2 linked regions of the Tamandua tetradactyla genome follow. The protein of the gene in region 1 purifies or fractionates together with the protein of each later gene. This does not show direct contact. Links are inferred from orthologs where the notes say so. Each region holds a gene or a part of one and is shown in the gene's direction. Other genes may lie near its edges.

The links. The genes of interacting proteins can lie anywhere in the genome.
Region 2: the proteins of AICDA (region 1) and CTNNBL1 purify together in Homo sapiens (affinity purification with western blotting; 3 studies listed by BioGRID, with this or other methods). This does not show direct contact. The link is inferred for Tamandua tetradactyla from reciprocal best matches to the Homo sapiens genes AICDA and CTNNBL1.

The regions. Positions count from the first base shown.
Region 1 is NC_135333.1:70,837,130-70,844,699, reverse strand, and holds the start of AICDA (single-stranded DNA cytosine deaminase), read left to right. Parts: upstream 1-4,564; 5' UTR 4,565-4,649; coding exon 4,650-4,657; intron 4,658-7,570. UniProt on the Homo sapiens protein: Single-stranded DNA-specific cytidine deaminase. Involved in somatic hypermutation (SHM), gene conversion, and class-switch recombination (CSR) in B-lymphocytes by deaminating C to U during transcription of Ig-variable (V) and Ig-switch (S) region DNA.
Region 2 is NC_135327.1:14,534,793-14,541,843, reverse strand, and holds the start of CTNNBL1 (beta-catenin-like protein 1), read left to right. Parts: upstream 1-4,042; 5' UTR 4,043-4,198; coding exon 4,199-4,228; intron 4,229-4,287; exon of another isoform or gene 4,288-4,944; intron 4,945-7,051. UniProt on the Homo sapiens protein: Component of the PRP19-CDC5L complex that forms an integral part of the spliceosome and is required for activating pre-mRNA splicing.

The DNA.
Region 1 (7,570 bases):
TTAGAAACCCTCAGGACAGCATTGTGAGGAGAGATTTCTCTCCCAATGTCATGCACTGAGTGTGTGCAAGAGCTGGATCTAAGGTACACGTCTCCAGTTGTCAAAGACCATGCTGGCTTAATTACATCTTACTGTCCTCTAGGAATCTTCAGCCCCATCCTTCTATTCAAATTTCACCCATTCATCAAGGTCTCAATGAAATACTGCCTCCACCACGAAGCTTTTGATGACTTCTTTCTGTGGTGATTCTATTTCGGTTCCTCTCTAACGACACAAAGTAGGTGATACATGCCCTATATTCCTAAAGATCTAAATCGAGGATAGATGACCACAGATTGGGATGTTTTTGCAAGGATCCATGCTTTCTAAACAGAGTAATAATCTCATGGTTTCTCTTGAACAATAAATCATAATTAACCTATGAATATACATATATATATATACATATATATATAGATATAGATATATGGCTTCTCTCACATGTATTATTCTATTTGGGTTTCTACAACACTTCAGCAAAATAGGATATACCTTTATAACATGGTGTGGTTGTATATTAGAATCAGGAGGTGGCATTGTAAACAGAAGTGAGGCACCACATTAAATCACACATTCCTAGAGGGACCGTGGGAGTGAAGTAGCATCACACCAAGCATTGAACACTTAACTAGGTATCCACAGCAAAGTAAAGAGGAGTGTGCTTGAAATGACAATAAATGTTGCTTGTGGATAAATGCTGGGTGTGGTAAAAAAAAAAGAAAGTGCAATTCATAGAAGCAGGCAACATAAGCATAACATGAGCTTTCCAAAATGTGCTTGCTCTGCTTTTTTTTAAATTCAAATTATGGTTTTAAATTTTTATTTGAGAGGTTTAAGAAAAATCATATAGAAAATAGAGTTCCCATATACCACTCCATCACACACATGCTTTTCCTTATTTTCAACATTTTGCACTAGTGTGATACCTTTGTTAAAATTTATGAAACAATATTACCATAATTATACTATTAACTATATATAGTCCATAGTTTACATTAAGATTCAATGTTGATGTTGTATAGTCCTATTGATTATCCTAAAAATTTCTATTCCTGCAACATATATACAATTTCCCCTCAACCACATTCAAATAAATAATCAAATGGTTTCTATTGCATTTACAATATTGGGTTGCCATCACTGCCATCCATCACTGCCATCCATTATAAAAACTTTTCTATTACCCCCCCCAAAAAACTCTATACCAATTAAGCATCCCCCACCTCCACCCCCACTCCTGCCCCTGGTAACTTGCATTCAAGTTTCTGGCTCTATGAATTTATGCGTTTTAATTATTTCATGTCAGTGAGGTCATGCAATATTTATCCTTTTGTGTCTGGCTTATTTCATTCAACATAATGTCTTCAGGGTTCATCCATGTTGTTGCATGTATCAGAATTTTGTTCCTTTTTGTGGCTGAAAAATATTCCATCGTATGCATATAGTACCTTGTGTTTATCCATTCATCTGTTGATGGATAGTTGGGTTGCTTCCTCATCTTTTGGCAATTGTGAATAATGCTGCTATGAACATGGATGTGAAAATATCTGAGTCCTGTTTTCAGTTCTTTTCAGTTCTTTTGAGGATAAACCTAGAAGTGTGATTGCTAGTTCACATGGTAATTCTATACTTAACTTTCTGAAGAATTGCCAGATTGTTTTCAACAGGTTTACTTTGATATTTAAAGTGCTTATGACTCAAAAATTTTAGCTGAATAAACATACTTTAGAAATTTCCCTTGAGGTATCATAACTGATGGGGTAGAGACGGAAGAAGGGAAAGAGAAAGCAAAGAGAAGAGTGAATAAAATAATCTAAACTTCGATGGTTTAGAGCAGCTTTAACAAAGGGTGTGGTCTGAAAGTTTCAGAGTGAGGACGTGGCGTGTTGAGAAGAAGCACAGAGACACCTTTTTCCATAGCTCTATCACCAAATAATCTTAGAACAAGAAGAACCTCTTATTATATGATGTATACTTTTCATAGCAAGCATCACAGTTTTTATTGTATTTTTACATGTCTGGTGACTTGATTATTGCATATTTCCCACTGGGATATACGTTCCACCAGAGCCTTATTAACTAATCAGCACATTTTTTGAGATGTCTATTATGTGCCAACGCTGTACTAAGCATTGAGGGTACCACAATGGAAAAAAATTCTTTCCTCTCATGGACCTAAGACAAGACAGATAGGTAAAATAGTGCATGATTTTGTTTCTTGGTTGTCAAAGCAAATATCATGCAATGGGTTGGCTTAAAAAATGAGTGTTTATTGGCTTATTGTTCTGAGGCTAAGAGAAGTCCAAATCAAGGTGTCATTATGACAATGTGTTGTTTGTAAAGATTGGATTTTGGAGCGGGCCACCAGTGATCCTTGGTCCTGGGCTTCTCTTTCAAATGGCAATGTACATGGTAGCCTCTCCTGGCCTATTCCTTCTCTTCTAGGTTCTGTTGTCCTTCAGCTTCCTGCTTTCCCTGGCTCTATGTCTGAATTTTATTCTGCTCATAAAGAACTCCAATGATAGGATTAAGACCTATCCTGATTGAGTTGGGCCCCACCTTAATTGAGTAGCTTCATCAAAATTCCTACTTTAATGAGTTCATACCCACAGGAATGGGTTAAGTTTAAGAACATGTTTTTTTTTTAATTTTCTGAGGTACATACAGCTCCAAATCACTACAGTGTATTTTGAATGGCAGATTCTAGAGAGATCAGTTAGGGAAAGGGGATAAAAAGTTTCAGGATGATAAGATTCAGATGCAATCTTGGATATGGTGATCAACAAAGTGTCAACCAGAAAGAGGTATTCATAAAATAAATGAGGAAATCAAGCATAAGGATGTATGGAGGAAGAGAATTCTAGGCAGGAAGAAGAGCAAGTGCAAAGACAGAGGCAGGAGTGTGTATTCATTGTCTATGCAAGGGAGAGTAGGAGATGAGGTCAGAGAGGGACAGATGGTATAGGGTCTTGTAAGCTACTGCAAGGATGTTGTCTTATACTCAGAGAAGGGGAGCCACTGGAGAGTTCTAACAGTGACATGACCTGCAGTGTTTCAGAAGGACTACTGGACCACTTTGTAGAGAGTAGGCTGAAGGATGGAGATGAGAAGGACAGCTGGGAGGCTAATGCAATAACCCGGCTTTCTAGACCTAGAGATGATGACAAATGGCAGTTACTGGGTAAATTTTGAAAGTAGAGTTAACAGGATTTGTTAATGGCTGCAAAGGAAAGAGAAGACTAGGACATGAAAGAAAGAGAAGTCAAGGGTGAACGCAAAGTTTGGGGCTTGAACAGTTGGAAGAATGACACTGCCATTCCTGAGATGGGGAAGGGGCAAGAAGAGTAGTTGGGTACGGGGGTAGAAAATAGGGCCTCAGTGTTAGACAGACATCCCAACAGACATCCCATCAGACAGGTATGAGATTCCCATCAGACATCCCATCAGACAGGTATGAGATTCCCATCAGACATCCCATCAGAAAGGTATGAGATTACCATCAGACATGCAGATGCTGAGAGGGAAGCTGAACACATTCATCTCAAGTTCAAGAGAGAGGTCAAAGCTAGAAATATGGATTTGGGAATCATCAGCATATCATTGGTATTTAAATCCGAAGAAGGAAGAGGGCAGGAACAAAGGCTGCTTTGCTCATCATTGCATCCCCAATACCAGGCAGTTTCTGGCATATAGTAGGTACTAAAATTCTATGCAATGCTTAAGGGGTGGGGTAGAAGGGAGAAGGAAAATCTTTAATATACCAGTTGCATTGGGGCAGGAACTAAAGCCTCTTATTTGAAAAGTCCAGCCTATTTACAAGTTCAATTTAGATATTGAATCTGTCTGGTGTGATATGCACTTTTGTATTGTTTGGGATTTTGTTGCTTCTGACTTCAAAATAAAAATATGATCTTGTGGAATCGATAACTTGGGCAAAAATCATTCTTTAGTACAAACATCTAGTCTTCTAGCAATTGTGGTAGTGCAATCCAAAAGAAAAAAATCAGTGATCTGGGAGGCAAAATTTCTGGGTCGTAGGTCCTGTAACTGATTGTGTTTACTTGCTCAGCATTAAAGCAGTGGCTGTTAGTGCTTGTCTCTATACAGATCCATAGATATTGCCTAATTAAATGAGTTAATGGATTCTTTTAGTTCACAGAACACAAGCTGTTATTCAAATGAACATCATCATCATCATCATCATCATCATCATCATGCTTTTAAAGTTAAAGATATGATTTGTTACCATGATGGCAATTTAAGTAGTATCCACTGTCTCTGGATCTTTGATACCTATGGAGGATGGACTGGATTTTTAAAGAAATAGTCTTAGGAGAACCTAGGCATTAAGCAGAGCTGCCCTCAGTCATCTACCCCGTGTGGCTCTGCCCCTGACAACCCCTCCCATCTTCACGGGACCCAAATCAGGGGGAAGGTGCTCTGTGGTACCTGGTGGTGGCAGTGCTGTGGGGAGGGGAGGAGCCCAAAGGGATAAACTCAGATTTGAATGTGGGCAAATCTGACAGAGACACTGAAGCAGCAGTGCTTGAGGCAAGCTTTCCTTGGCCTAAGACTTTCAGGGAGTCAAGAGAGCCACTCTGGAAACTGCTATGGACAGGTAAAGGGTCAGTCTCCTCGCGTGTCCTGGGTGGTTGGTTTTACCAGCTTTTCTCTCAGAGAGTATCTGTGGAATGAATTGGCAGCTAACCCTTTCTCTTGTTTCTCTATCTGACTGACACAATCTGCTTGTTTAAAATACATGTTTATTTTTCTGGATCTGTCTCATTACTGTTCAAACCTGCCTTGCTCTCAACCTAATTCTCAGTGCTTCTCCAAGTGACTCTCTTTTCTGTGTTGCAAAAGAACTTTTATGCAGCATATACTGACTTGACTTGGTTACAAGTGGTTTATGGTAATATCAGCAAAGCAAATGTTTAAAGACTCATATCATGAAAAAGTAAAAGTAATACTATACTACACACAGTCATGGTAATTGTAAAACAATTTTGTACACATTTCAAAAATCAAACCACTTGAAGACAGTTTCCTAGGGAAACTTTACAGAAAAATTTAGTTACATAGTAAGAAAGTTTGTTTTTTTTTTTTGAAAATAACAAACATTCAAAATTAGTTGCCTGAAAGTCATTATGATTTATAATAGAGAAAAAGTTTCAAATAGGTGATTTAATGTTGGAAGCCAGACCTCTAGGCATTTTAACTTTTTAACCAGACTTTGAATTTGCGTACACATGGCCTAACTCATTTTATAAATGAGGATTCTGTAAGCTTTTCAGTTTGTCCACCTATAAATTATGATAATTTAAATTTTATTGTAGAATTTAGTCTATTCCTACTTTTCTGATTACTAAAATATATAAGAATCATACCTAATCCACATACTTTATTTCAATTTAATGCTTTTACATAGAATATAAACTTGTTCTTCAGAAGGTTTTCTTGAGAGTAAGCACTGTTGAATATCTCTTCACTACAAATGACATCTTTTTTTGTTTGGCGGTTATTTTAAAAATGAATGTGAGGTATAAGTCAACAATCCTCTGTGGTCAGAGGTGGAGGGACCAGTGGAGATCCTTGCACATGATGAAATACAAAGCCACAGTAAAATCAGTAGTCAAAATTCAGAGAAAGACCAAAAAAGGAGAAAGATGAAATTCAACAGGAGAAAAGGGAAATCTATCATTATCATTAAAGAAAATGCTGTCTGCAGAACTCAATAGCGATGGTGCACTGCAGTGGAGATGAATGTCAGGATTATTTTTAACCCATTTGTCTCTGGTTTGCATTGCTGGGGATGCAGCTCTTGTTCTGCCTCAGGGAACACAGCTGTCCAGAGCAGCTGTCAACATGAGGGCCTGAAAAACTGTCTCTGTAAAATCCTTTGTACCCAGAAGAGAAACATCTTACATCTCCACTGAGACAAATGGGGAGCTGGCAGCAGGGTACTAGCTAGAGGAGAAGCAAGAAAAATAACAGATCACGATCACGAAATTCCTTTCCCTGTGCCTGGTTACCTGGGACAGAAAAAGCAAGGAACTATTGCATTTTCGTGCAGGGTAGGAAGTAAAGTCCATCTGAATTGCTTTAGCTAGGTCATGCCCTTTTCTATACTCCCAGGAACCTTTCTCTTCTTTATGCTAACAGGTTCTCCCCTTTCCTGCAATAAAAAAGATATATATTTGCTCTCCCTTTCTCATCCATACAGCCCAGGAGGGTAGGTTAGATGTATAACTGATTTATTGTTAAAGATGATGATTAATCTGTTTAAAACTGACTGGGCCCCAAAGAGAGAATATGTTTATTTTATTCTCTCTCTAGAGCATTTATCATGCATCTATTATCTATTCAGCTAATTATATATGCTAAGGGTTATTAAATGCTAATTATGTAATATAGTTCATAGTAATTGTGGTAGAGCTATGGAGATTACCATAAATTATCATTTTAAAATAAAGCAAACTATTATTAGATTTTTGTGAGTATCTATTTTAGATTCCTACCAAAGATGCAATTTTTTAAATTTAAAGAAGGGAACAATATGGTTGACTCATTTTTATACTATTTGATATGTATATTATATATACTGGCAATAAATTCAATTTTGTTTCAGAGTTTAAGGTATTTTCTAATAAGCTTCATGTGTGTGAGAAGAGGCCTTTGAATTGAAAAAGCTATAAAGAGCCATTGTCCTTCTTGTTTATTCAATCAAGTTGACGTTTTGGTAGTTGATCTTTAAAGTCAAAGACTATCACCTATATCTAGTTATGAAAATGTCAGTTCTCAATATATATCCATCCACACAAAGACTGGTACACTAATGTTCAAAGCAGCTTTATTCACAATAATCTCAAACTGGAAACAATCCAAATGTCCATCAACAGGTGAATGGATAAACACAATGTGTTATATTCGTGTAATGGAATACTACTCTGCACTTAAAAGGAAAAAATTGCTGGTACTCATAACAACATGAGTGAACCTTGTGTCTTATACTGAGTGAAATAGCATAAGACAAGAAAGAGTAGATCAGTAGATAATGTATGATTTACATGACATTCTAGCCAATGAAAACTAATCTAGTTACAGAAAACAGATGAGTGATATGAGGGAAAGAGAATTGATTGCAGGGGGTGGGGGGAGAGTGAACTGGAAAGGTCTGTATACTGATTGTGGTAGCAGTTTGGGGTGTTTTCATTTCTCATTTTAAATACACGAAGTTTACTGTTTATACCGCAATGCAAAAATAATAATGATCGTAAGTGAAGAGCTTCAATTTCTTGCCAGCAAACTGCATTCAAATTCCTTACCATGCTTTTGCTTTATAAATTTTTTGCACTTCTTCCCGATGCCATGAAATTGCAACGCTGATCCCACATGTTAAGCAAATACATTTCTGAAAATGACAAAGGGCAGAGACACAACTCATGCTTAAGTAATCACACTAGTATATAGCTGGTGTTACTATGCTTAAAACTGTAATGTTATTCTTAATTTCTTTAAACAGATTTGGACC
Region 2 (7,051 bases), on another chromosome or scaffold:
ACAAGGAATGCTCTCACTTCCATGCCTCTGCTCATGCTTTTCCCTCTGCAAGGACCACCTTTCTTCCACCAGGTGCTCTTGGTAAACTCCTCTCATCCTTTAAATCCATGTCCAAATGGCACCTCCTCTGAGTAGCCTTCCCCGGGGAACAGATCACTCTCATTCCAGCATGTTCACTGCCCCTGGTTCTCACAGAATTTTTCCTTATGATTCTGAGTTTTAAAGCCTGGCCTCTGAAATTACATAGAGCAGATTAAATGCCTGCCACCTACATGAAAGTAAAGGAAAAGTTCAAAGGAATGCCCTCAACTCTCTCCCTCCACCTCCTACTCAACTCATGATATTAACACCAAACGTTGATGGAACATTTTTCTGTGCTGATTGCTCTGCCTGCAGGAGCTCGTGTGAGTTCTCCCACATCCTGTGAAGCAGATTCAGTTTGCCCTCCACTTCCCAGGTGCGGAAATCAGGCACATCGAGGAAAAGCACTTACCTCTGTTTCCCCATCTATAATATGAGCATCATAACAATATCTTCCTCATGAGGTTTTCTCTCCAACTAGAATGTAGGTTCCAAGATGGCAGGAACTTTGTTTTATCAACTTTTATAACCTCAGAGCCCAGAACTATGCCTGGCATTGATTAGGCACTCAGTAAATAGTTGTTGAATGAATGAGTGAAATACTTTACAGATGAGGAAACTGCAGCTGAGAGGGAAAGTTACTTGCCCAACGGCACACCTAGACTTGATGGGGCGTCATCTAGAACCAGAACCATCAGTCTGCTTGGGGGGAGTATCTGCTGATTTCTGTGATGTAAATATGCCCACCAGGGATGATTTCAAGCTACCAACCTGGTGCCAACCTGCTTGAAAATGTAACCGTGGGTTCTTAGGAGCCTGCCTATACAAGATGGCTCTAGCATAGCACACGCTAGAACACGGGGTTGTCTGTGGTCACAGGCTACCCTCATCATCACTCCTCATGCCTCCTTTACAAGGCACTGTCTATAGTCACAGCTAAGTAGGAGGGAGAAAAAACCACAAATAACTCAGTTCAAAGCAGATTATGCAGGTGATCCTTTAAAAACAAACCTAATCATGTCACTCCCGTGCTTAATACCTTTCACAGCGTCCCAATACTCTTGAGATAAAATCCAGTCTCTTCACCACGGCCCACAAGGCCCATTGTGAAACCCTCCCCTTGTCCCAGTGCTGGGGGCTACAGGGTGACCATGACATACACAATCCCTGCTTGTGAAGAGCTGGGAGTTTGTGGGCGGACAGGCCTCAGCTCCACCGAAGATGGAGCCTCATCTAAATCGCAGGCGTTCAGATGCTCTCTGTGAATGCAATTTTCTCCTCCAGAAAGATCTTTTCACATCACTCATATAGAGAAAAGATGATCCAGTTCCCACCTGGCCTTGCAGAGATCAAGAAACAGAAGCCCAGAGAGGGGCATGTGATTGTTACCAGGTGAAGACCATGGATTCTTTTGCCAGATGCGCTCAATAACCAATTCCTGAGACACCGGGGTTTCAAAGAGACAAAGGGTTTATTACTAGATATTTTGTAGGAGAGTAGCTGGCCTAGTGGCCCAAAATCTATCTCCTGGAACTCCATTAATTCTGGTAGTTTTATTAGAGAAAAAGACAGGCAGGGTTTAAGATAATGAGTACAGTGACCCCAGATGATGTAATTAGACGTGATCTGATTTTTGAGCATTCGCACATGGATTACAGGCTTATTCATGGAATGTATGAAAGAAAATGGCGAAATGAGGTATAGGTCACTTGTAGGTTAAGTCTAAGCTACTGCGCATGTCAGGCAGACCCATGTAGGTTAAATTTGGTCTCAGTTATCAAGATTATTTTGGACTTAGGGTGGGATAGTTCCCAGCAGACCCAAGACCCTTCATTAACAAACATGAAGGGCTGTCTTTAGTGGTTACAAAACTCTAAAGTTGAAAAACTGGATGACAAAGTACAGATGAAGCTTAGTCACAGGGGCAGAAGATAACCACTGATATACAACCATTATCAGAGACCAAGGCAGCTGGGTTACAATTCAGAGATTTCAGGTATTACCCTGTCTACTCCAATATGCCAGAAAGCAAAAAAAGGTATATTTATGTAATGATTCAGTAATCAAAATCATCCCTTCAATCCTAATTTCTCGTTTACATGATCACTGATAGTTTCTCAGCCAGTAATAGTTGTATTGCCTTGGCTGAGTCACTTTCTGAGCCAGCATTGTTCGATAGAAATATGAGGGAAGGCTCACATGTAAGCCATGTGTAATTAAATTTTTTCTAATTACATTAAAAAAGAGGAGAAAACTTTTTCTACTCACCACATGAAAATGTATTAATTTTATTATGAGAAACTGAACTCTTTGTGTATAAGCTGGATTTCCCTGGAACTTTGAGTAGCTGTGTGACATCTGAGATTCAGAGTTAGAGTTCTGCAGCTCTGAAAGCCAGCATTACCCCATGTAACAACTGTTAAAGAAGCTAAAAAAGAGATCAGACTTCAGTTAGAGATATGAATGAAGCTGATCTGGTTAGGACTAAGGTAATCTGAATACAGAGTAAAGACTGATAGTGACTGTATTTTAAAACTTCAATTTCTGTGTGAGACCAAAGGAAGAGATGTTTATTTGGTATAAAATTTATATTTTCTGTAGCACATTATCTAATTTAACCTGTATGGTTGGTTTATCCAAACAATATAATTACATGGAAACTTGAATAGGGAATGAAATCTTATTTTGTACAGGTTAATATAATAACCTGATATATCCAAGAGTAATTTGGGCAGAAAATAGAAAAAAGTATTTGCAAAGTCCCCTTGAGGGACTGGGGAAAAATGTGGAAATATTAAGCTTTACCACCTGGGGAATTTCTGATATTCTCACAAGCATTAGAGACTCCCAGTGTAATAAATCAAACTCATTCTTTGGGCTTACCCTTATGAAATGTATTCCTCAAAGTAGAAGTTAAGCCTACTAATAATTATGCTTAAGAGTCATCCCAGAGGACCTCTTTTGTTGCTCAGATGTGGCCTCTCAGTCTAAACCAACTCTGTAAATAGATGCATTACCCTTCCCCCTATGTGGGACCTGACTCCTAGGGTTGAGCCTGGCCCTGACATCTTGGGATTGAGAAAGCCTTGACAAAAAGGAAGAAGAGAAATGAAACAAAATAAAATTTCAGTGGCTAGGAGATTTCAAATAGTCAAGGGGTCAGTCTGGAGGTTATTTTTATGTATTATATGTAGATATTCCTTTTTTAGTTTAGTGTATTTGAATAGCTAGAAGGAAACTGTTGACCTGTAATCCAGTAGCTTTGATTCTTGATGATGATGGTATGACTATATAGCTTTTACAGTGTGACTGACACTTCCTTTATCCAGTGTATGGGCAGATAAGTGAGAAAATAAAAACATAAAAATAAATAATAGGGGGGAAAAGGGGTATGGAATGTGTTTGGGTGTTTTTTATTTTCGCTTAACTTTTTTTTTTAAGTAATGAAAATGTTCTAAAAGTGATTGTGGTGATGAATGCACAACTATATGATGTGTAAGCCATTGATTGTATACTTTGGATGATTATATAGTCTGGGAATATTTCTCAATAAAATCGCATCCAAATGCATTAATTTTAATAATATATTTTATTTGACTCATCCAAAACATCGTTTCAATATGTAATTAACATGTCTTAAAAATCCAGTGTCTGGTTTATTTACATTTATGGCACATCTCAATTTGAACTAGGTATATTTCGGTTTCCTTATCTGTGAAATGAGAAGCAAATAAAGATACAGTGGTCCAGGTCGCTAGAAGGATTGTGAAAATACCCGTGAAACACCCAGTGCTCAACCCTGCACACAGGGAGCGCGCCATAAAACGAAGCGCCCTCCACTTCTCTCTCCCACCTCACCAACCTCCTTCAGGTCTCCGTCCAATTTCCCCGCCCCGCTCAGGCTCGAGGCGGAAGCAGAACTGTCACAAATGCAGCGCGCTTTACGGTAGCCCTCCCTTTTACCGCAGTGTGGCCCGCTCGGGCACGTTTACCCGGTTGTCTCTGCGGCCTGCTCACGGCGCTTTACGGTAGTGTGGCTGAGCAGCTGCTGAGGGGGCCTTAGCTTCAGCGTGAGTGGAGGGAATTCGCGTAGCCGGCGTTAGCAGGACCCTGAACTATGGACGTAGGCGAACTTCTGAGCTATCAGGTATGAAGCCCGGGAAAGGGCCGTGGAACCCCCCTTCACATGAGCAACGGGTAGCAGGGCCAGAATCTCATCTCACTTCCTCTCCACCTAAATCCGGGGCCCCCGGGCTCCCTCATGTCAACTTGTGCCACCCGGGTCCAAGTTTGTCTCAATTTCACTTTCCCATAGTCCTCTTGGGCCCTTTCAGTTCCTTACCTTCTCAAGGCCTGAGCCCTCTCACCTGTTCTCACTCCAGTCTGGGTTCCCTCTCACCCCATCCTGGTTCTCCTCAACTTCCCTGAAGGTCCCAGACTACCCTGTTTTCACGACCATGCCCCTCAGCTCACCACTCCCCGCTCCCAAGTCCTTGAGTGTGTAGTGGTGGTCGGAGGACCACAGCTCTTTCTTGGATTTGTGCCCCAGCTTCTCCGCTGACTGGCAGTGGGGCTTATGGGCAAGTCCTTTCCTCCCCTTTGAGCTCAGCTATTCTGTCTATGAAATGGATACAGTAATAACTACCTTGTAGGTTTATTTGAGAACTATGTCAGCTAATGGATCTGAAAGCCTATTTTAAAGTGTAGAAAGCTGTAGCCATGTTAACTGCTGTCGTCGGGAGATGTTTGGAATTTTAACATGGGATAGAACCTTAGGGGAATCTTCTTGTGCCCTCACTCAGGGTACTTGTAGGAAAACTTCGGGCTCGAGGACAGAAAGGAATTGCCCAAGTTTCTCAGCAAGTAAGATCTGGGCTAGAGCTCAAGTCTCTCAACTTCCAGCCCAAAGTTTTCCCCACTCTTTAACTTCCCCAGAAAGGCTACTTTTGAGGGGATAGTAGAGCTGTGCCGTCCAGCTACTAGCCACATGCGATTGCTGAACATTTGAAATGTAGCTAGTCTGAATTGAGATGTGCTGTGTGTGTAAATTCACACTAGATTTTGACGATGTAGTATTAAAAAAAGTTGAATTTTTATATTGTTGCTTAATCCTATCGATCATATCGGTTATTTTGATTATTAAATCATTTGATTAAATAATCGTATTTCAGATAATGGGTTAAATAAAATGCGTTTAAAATAGTTTTCACCTATTTCTGTTAACTTTTTAATATGGCTACTAGAAAATTTAAAGTTAGTTTTATAGTTGACAGTGTATTTCTATTGGGCGACCCTGCAATAGAGAATAGGTGATTAAGAACCAGGAGTCTGGAATTCCAGCTTTCTTGGAAACTCAGTTTTGCTACCAACTGACTTTTGTAACCTTGAATGAAATACTTAACTTCTCTATGCCTTGGTTTCCTCATCTGTAAGTGGGGACGGTGATGGTATCTATTTCATAGGGCTGCCGTAAAGCATAGTTGTAAAGTGCTTTGACTAATCCCTACCACTGAGTAAACACATTCAATAAATATTACTATTACTTTTGTGCATCTTCCTAATCCATTATACCCAGCTTTGATCTGGAAACTCCAGACATGATGAGAAGGAACTTGTAAACAGTGGGGAGGTATATAACCAAGAAATTGTTCTTTTTAAGACAGTAGTTGAACATGAAAGGAAAAAAGAAATAGGAGGGTTGCTGGATGAGTGGTTGTATGCCTTTTTGGGAATTGTGGAATGACTAGTCCATTGACTCAGAATATTAAAGTTCAACAAATATTTATTAAGCACCTCCTGGGTGCAAGGCATTGTATCCACTAGGTGTACAGCAATGAAAATGACAGACAAGGTTCTTCCTTTTGTGGAGCTTATAGTCTGGTGGGGAAGTCACAAGATAAGAAAATAAACATAGTGATAAGTGCTATGATGTAAATAAAGCAGGGTATGCTATAAAACTGCAGTATTCAGTATGGTAGCTGCTGACCACATGTGACTATTGAACACTTGAAATGTGGCAATATGTATGAAGTACACACTGGATTTCAAAGATTTAGCATGAAAAATGGCTGTAAAAATATTTTTATATTGATTACATGTTAAAATTATAGTATTTAGATATATTAGGTTAAAGGAAATATATTAAAAATAATGTCACTTTTTAAATGTTGCTACTAGAAAGTTTAAAGTTACACATGTGATTCATTTACGGCTTTCAATATGTTTTTAGTAGATAATTCTGCCATAGAAAATAACCATTAGGCGTGGAGCTAGGACCTATTACTTTAGATAGTATGTTCTAATAGATAGTATGTTCTAGGAAGGTCTTACTCAGGAATGGACATTAAAGTTGAGGACTGAAGGTTGAAAGGGACAGATTGAGGCAGAGATAACATCTTCTATGTGGTAGAAACTCATAGTTAGTTCTTCATGGTTAGAAGATCAGAAAGAGGATTGATGTGACTAGAATATAGTGAGTGAGGAAGAGAATGGTAGGTGATGAAATTAGAGATATAAAAACTCTTTAAAATGGTAACGTTTTTAGAAATGAGAGATGCATTACTTACTGCATTGGTACAGACAAGGAAGCTGAAGCATAAAAAAGTACCTGCCTTAAGGCATCTAGCCAGATAGTGGCAAGGCTGGGCAGTCTGATTTCATAGCTGGAGCTCCTAACCACTGTGCTATACTGCCTTCCTACCATGAGCCAGGGGCTGAGCTAAAGTGTTTTCATATAAGTTATCATATTTAATTATCAATTAATGGCCTTTTGAGGTAGGTGGAATGCTTATTTTATAGAAAAGGAAACCCAAGCCAGAGAGGTCAAGTTAACCTGCTCCAAGTCAAACAGCTAGTGAAGAGCAAAGCCAGAGCTGAAACCAACTGTTCTGGTTTGCTGGCTGCCAGAATGCATTATACCAGAAATGGAATGGCTTTTAAAAAGGGAAATTGAATACGTTGCTGTTTTACA